2 linked regions of the Drosophila melanogaster genome follow. The protein of the gene in region 1 interacts with the protein of each later gene in a pairwise test. Each region holds a gene or a part of one and is shown on either strand. Other genes may lie near its edges.

Region 1 (3,065 bases):
CTTGAACTTTGACCCCCGTTCAGTACCCCTCAAGTTGGCGAATATGATGAGGTAGGCGATCGCAAGGCAGATCGATGCAGCCCCGGAGCAAATAATGCCCGCCTTGGAGTCCGGTTTCCACATTTCCAACTCCTCGATGGGCGTTTTGTTCGCAAATGATCCATTGTTCCATTACTAAAAAGCTTTTTTTAATACTTATCTAATCAGCCATTGCTTTATATACAACGCATATACATAAAAGCCTTTGTGGGATATATAGGCACCGCAAAAGGGATAATAAAATTGTGCATCATAGAAAACAAGCTTTGCTAAAAGCCAAATGATAAAAGTAAAAAAAAAACAGAATTACCTTTGTCAGAGATAACAGAGATGTGAGCTGGAAACGAAATTTCGCAGAAAAAAGATAACAAATATATTTTCAGAGCACACTGAAAATAATAGTTCACAAAAGTGATTGCCTTAAAGTTTATAGTTCCCATTGCAAATTGTAATAAACTTTAGAAAAGTTTAAATTTACACCGATTTCTTGTGGGTTTGTTTCGTTTGAATAGCACTTAAAATGAGCTTTTATTTTCCAGCTATCTGATCTACCTTTAATCTTTTTTTTGTTTGTATTGAAATTGCTTATATATGTATCTATATGTGATTGATGAACTCCTTCTTGTCGGACAAGCTGGCATATGCCGGTGGCTCCTCCTTGCGCATCCTGTCGAAGGCCTTCTGCACCGAGTACAGGGCGCAGCCCAGATAGGCTGAAAGTGAAGGATTTTGGTTAATTGGCTGTCCAATCTCTGGCTGCGTTAACTCCTCACCTGTGAACGGAACGACCATCAATGGTCCGAAGATCCAAGCTGTGCCCTGGACTATCAGTGAAATGAACAGGTTCACCATCAGGTATAAAAAGAATCCTGTGGTTATCATCCACGGCACGAAGAACTTGTGCTTTTGCTGTATGCAGCAAAGAGCAGAGCAAAGAGATAAGAGATAAGAGTGTTGTGGACTGTGCACAGTGTGCCTAACTAACCTTTATGGCTCCAACGATGAGGACCACGCTTCCCAAGATCTGCAGCGCCGAAATGTGTATTCCCATCTCGTAGAGTCCATCTGAAACGAAATAGCTCTATGCATCGCAAAGATATCCAAGATTGGTATGTATATGCGCCTACATTTCCAGAAGTAATCGTCCATCAAAACCAGATAGGTTATGGCAAAGGCTATGGACAGGCAGCCCGAGCAGATGATTCCTCCTTTGGTGTCCAGCTTCCACATGTTTCCAAAATCGCAGAGTAACTTGCAGACCGCCGATTATTTCACAACTAAACTGGACGGGAGTATTCATGGTGGTGATGGGTGAGCAGGCTAGCTTTTGCCGCAGACCTTATCTAATCTCATATTGTACTGTAGCTCCTCCACCAGCGCAACAACAATTGAAGAAAACCTTTGTTGGTTAGTGTATAATTATAATTTTATTGAAGGATTCGCTTATTATTGCTTCGACTGGCCAGCTAACTGGGCAATCCATGCGGGCCTATCTATCGATGGGTTCCCAACTTGTGGCTACACCATTTTACAATGAGATACGACCTCGAGTCGATTACTTTGAATAATGCAATGGAATTTAATTGATTAGCTAACGAATTGAGAGTGGCGAGTGTGCAAAAATTTGTTAATTGTAAAATTTGTAACATGCGTTTTACTATTTGGTTTTCTTGCATCTTTAACTAGTATAATTAGGTATAAAAAAATGTTACTGCAATATCACCGCACGGCATTGCTTCATATGTATGTTTTGATGTATAATAACTATTCGATTTTCAGTTAACTCGCGTTATAAACTGCAAAATGTAGCGTATTTTAGAAAACGTTCGAGGCGTTCTACGTTCTGCGTGAGAATCGTTGATTAATTTGAGTTAAGTGGCGTTAGAAATTGGTTAAGATAGACTTAAGAAACTTGGCAAACGTCGCCTTCCTCTGGTGTTATCAAGTTAGTCAAGATATATAAAAATACGTTACGTAGGTTATAACATTCGATTAGTACAAGTAGGTATGTATAAATATATAAAAAGTACACAACGTGTAAATAAGACTAAGTCAATAGAGGAGACCTCCTTCGGGCAGGTTGCTTAGCTGCCCCGCGCATCTGTCCTTTCTCATCATAAGCACTTCATATTTCGATTTGTTGCATTTCGATTGGTTTTGTTGTTTTTTTTTTTTTTTTTTTGTTTTGTTTTTGGCAAAATCACAGGAGAATTAGAAATATAACATCAATATGATAGAGCGAAAGTGCATTCGATAGAGCATTCGTTCAACTTGGGTTGCTTTATTTGCCTTTGCTTGCACGAACTTGGATTCCGCCTTAGTTAAGTTTAGTTTTGCTTCTGGGGTTTTTGAATTCTTTAAATGTATATTTGTATAATAAATTATGACTATATATGCATTTATATATAAGTATATAGATGAATATATTTAAGAAGTAAGTAGGAGGCGCATTATTCCACTTTTCAACTTAGGATAACAACATTGCATTCGCGATTTCTCCCTAAGCCTTCGATCGCTGTACTGACTGACTGGCTGGCTGGCTGACTGACTGACTGACTAACTGAACTGGCTCGCCAAAGGCTCATAACAATATTTAACTATAGAGAATCGCCGATCAAAAATAATAACCATATGAATAGTGGTGATAGTGACAATCGAAGGATGCCGACGTGTATAAAATAAATAAATAACATCGCGTAGAAAAGGATCTGCGTTAAACCTATTTTAGACATCGACTACCATCTTCTTGTGAATGTCCGTGTTGCCGACCACAGAGCAGAACTCATCGAACGAGATCTTGCCATCCTCATCCTTATCCGCGAATCCGATCGTCTTGTCCACAATCTGCTGCAGTTGCGTGTCCTTCAGATTATTGCCTACCATCATCTTTAAAACCTTTTAGAGGGGAAACACTTCAGTGGAATGAGCTTAACGTAATGTTCGCGGGTCTTGCCTGAAACAGTTCGCCATTGGAAATGTAACCATCGTTGTCCATGTCATAGATGCGAAAGGCGAAGCGCAACTTG
Region 2 (3,493 bases), on another chromosome or scaffold:
TTTATTATTGGCTCAATTTATGGTTAACCACAATGTTTTATCAACTCAATTTGCTCTCAATTTAAATTCTCCTTGCGTTTCTCCCCTTCTCTGTCTCTTTCTCCTTCTCCGATTCTCCGCGGATTGCATTGCCACAAAAAAGCACAATTGCCAAGGAGTAATTCCATTGATGCACCCAACATCATGCACTACGATATTAAAATTAAAATAGTCTAACCAGTTATTGTTAACTTTTATATCTGCTACTTTTGATCTACAATTTTTCATTTCACTTTTCTAGGTAAATTGTCGCCGCAAAAAGAGAAGAAACTAAAATAAGAAGTTGATATAAATAAACTTTAAAGCTGCAGAAACAAAGTGGATCGGGCCATTCTTTAAATTAAAAACCAAAACAGAGAAGAGAATTATGTACATAAACTAAAGAAAACTGTACTGATTAAATTAAATACATAACATGTAAATATATATATATATATGTATAAAAGATATATATATATATATATATATATTTATTAAAAAGACAAAATGGAATTATTGTACTTGTTAATAAGAGAATATAAAGGACATTCTATGTTCTAGTGCTAGGTTAATACAATACAAAAGATTTAATTGTCTTAGCTTAAGCTACAAACCAATCTGGCTTTTCTCGAGCTATGTACAGAAGCGCATCTGATTCTAGACCTCCAGAATTGCCGACATGGTCTTCTTGACCGCATCGCGGGCGTAGGGGATGTACGACAGCGAGTACCAGGTCATGGCCAGAGATTGTATGATAATGAATATAAGCGTGAGTCCCGCCTTTTTCCACTAAAGCCAATCAAATAAAAATAATAACATATTAAGTGCACACATCGATTGCATCGTACTGTTTTTTTGTTCAAGTAATAAGAATTAAACCAATATTCAGAATTTAATTGCTAGGGCATGTGAAACTGTGTTATTAATATTAAAAGTAAAATGCTAAAAGCTTTCATTTAACTTTACTGTGAGTTCATGAAGTATGTATAAGATTTGGATCGCTATTTCATTGGATAACTTTAAAGTCTAAACATTAAGGAAAAGTTTTCTACAAAACCTGCAAACAAATTCGTCATGCTATCGCTATAAAACTAACTTGATTATAAAAGTTAACGACCGAACCCTAAATAATTGTGATATCTTCGATTTGAGCATGGACGCCTTACCACAATAGCAGCGATGAACGTCAGGACCATCATGACGAGCACGATGATGGTGGCGATCAGCCGTGTTTCCGCAAACATTTTCTTGATCTGCTTGAAGGGACCCATGAGAAAGCAGGTACTGAAACCGGAGAAGAGAGACTCATTAGCCGGCTTGTGTGAAGTACGAGTGGAACGGAACCAGCAACTCGCTCACCTGGCCATCGAGATGACGTTTCCTAGAGTGTAGAAGACCGCAAAGACCACAATGCCCCTGTGCAGAAATAGGGCGACCGAGCCGAGTAGGGAAAGTAAGATGCCCAAGGCAAAGCAGATGACGAATCCCTTGATCCGAGTGGACCAGCTCAAAGTGGACATGTCGTTGATCTGCGTATGTAATTGATTGATATTAACTAAATACTTTGATAAGCGTTGGGTCACACGGCTTGGGGCGCCATGTGATCGCGGGGCGTTGCCAGCGGCTAGCTCCTAAGCCACGCCATAATCATAATTCCTCCAGCCAGAATATGTTAAGGGATCTAATGAGATCTGTACCATTAGAAAATTTCTTCACCTGCGTAATGATACTGCTCTCCTCCTCCGGAGTGGGCTCATCTCCACTCAGAACGCGGCGCAACTTGTCCATTATGCGGCGATTGAATAATGTTCAACAGGTGGCTGACTTGGAATTACCGGCACTCCTCTCGGGGGGTTTTGCACATACAAGGGTCTCTTCTGTTTTTATGCTCCGGAATTTTCACACCAAAATAAATCCAAGATCATACCTAGTGTGACCGTGGTGGTAACCGTTAACATATACCGTCCGATTAAAAATTATACCAACAATTTGCAATTTTATATATATCTTCATAAAAAAACTAAAGAAATCAGATATTAGTAGTGCATTTTTGTTCAAGAATATCCATTTAAAAACAAATATGTTTTTATATCAAAATCATATTCAAAATATAATTTTAGCTTTTTCTAGCTAGCATGCCATATTTAGAAACTTTGGCAGCCAACTGCTGGTCACATTCGCGACATCTGGCAACGCCTCCAGCATGTTTTGTTCAGCTCTACGTAACATTTTGAGGAATTCACAAAATGCGGCTAAAAACGCAACAATTACCTCACAAATACGAAATCTGCGAGGACAACAAAGTGTCCACCATGAGGTAGAAGTGTTAACATCACCGGGTATAACCACCAAACAGAATGACAAGAAGACCGAGCCTGCGGAATGTGAAGGCTCCAAAGAAGTGGCTCTGGACTTCCGAAATCGGGAGGCCCATGTGCCTTCCTTCAATTTGGCGGCCTATGTGAACAACTCGAGTACCCTGCAGCAATTTCTCAGCTTGGGAGTGGATCTGCACAGTATTGAACGGCGAAAGGGATTGGGAGACTTTGTACTGAAGCTGGATTTCGAGAAAAATGTGAAGCCCTACATAACGTTCCTGGTGGATCAGGGCGTATCACCCGATGACTTCGGCAGGATGTTCACCAAGAACCCGCTGCTGTTCAAGGAGGACTTGGACGATCTGCAGACCAGAGTGAACTATCTAAAAAGCAAGAGATTCTCGGACGAAGCCAGGCAAAGAATTCTCACCCAGAATCCTTATTGGCTGATGTTCTCCACCAGGCGAGTGGATCGTCGATTGGGTTACTTCCAAAAGGAGTTCAAATTGAGTGGTCATGATCTGCGACTGTTGGCCACCAGAGAACCCAATGCCATTACCTACAATATGGAACACCTCCGCAAGTCTGTGTTCACCCTTAAGGAGGAAATGGGATTCAATGCCAAGGAGCTAAGTGACCTGGTGGTACGAAAGCCGCGCCTCTTGATGATTCGTAAGTCTATCTACATTCAAAATTAAGGACATTTGTAATTAAACAACTTATCCTTGCAGCTCCGGATGATCTTGTCGAGCGATTTAGTTACATTCACCAGGATATGGGCCTTCCACATGCCCAGATTGTCCAGTGCCCGGAGCTTTTGGCCTCACGCGAATTTAGACTGCGGGAACGTCATGAGTTCCTGAAATTGCTTGGAAGAGCGCAATATGATCCGCAAAAAGACCTGTATATATCGCCAAAAACTATAGTGGAAGGCAATAACTTTTATTTCGTCCGAAATGTGGCTAAAAGTGATTTGGAAACATTTGATTTGTTTTTGAAAACGAGATAAGAATAAAATAAAAGTAAATGTATATATACTTTTCATATTCATATATGCATATGCATATATTTTCAAAAGTCAACAGAAACCAAGTTTTATCATTTTAAAAATAACCACCAATAAATTTACTTGATACAAGGGATGCCAGATGTAGGAA

What was found. The genes of interacting proteins can lie anywhere in the genome.
Region 2: the proteins of CG12825 (region 1) and CG5104 interact in a two-hybrid assay, tested with the Drosophila melanogaster proteins (one large-scale study listed by BioGRID).

What each region holds. Positions count from the first base shown.
Region 1 is NT_033778.4:7,787,460-7,790,524, reverse strand, and holds CG12825 (uncharacterized protein), read right to left. Parts: upstream 1,320-3,065; 5' UTR 1,270-1,319; coding exon 1,167-1,269; intron 1,105-1,166; coding exon 1,025-1,104; intron 949-1,024; coding exon 813-948; intron 753-812; coding exon 637-752; 3' UTR 537-636; downstream 1-536. Other genes in the region: CG12824 (uncharacterized protein), read right to left, coding at 27-123; CanB2 (calcineurin B2), read right to left, coding at 2,764-2,934, 2,993-3,065.
Region 2 is NT_037436.4:20,519,469-20,522,961, reverse strand, and holds CG5104 (uncharacterized protein), read right to left. Parts: upstream 1,954-3,493; 5' UTR 1,807-1,953; coding exon 1,735-1,806; intron 1,548-1,734; coding exon 1,378-1,547; intron 1,303-1,377; coding exon 1,185-1,302; intron 808-1,184; coding exon 676-807; 3' UTR 528-675; downstream 1-527. Other genes in the region: Pss (phosphatidylserine synthase), read left to right, coding at 281-318; mTerf3 (mitochondrial transcription termination factor 3), read left to right, coding at 2,222-3,008, 3,068-3,345.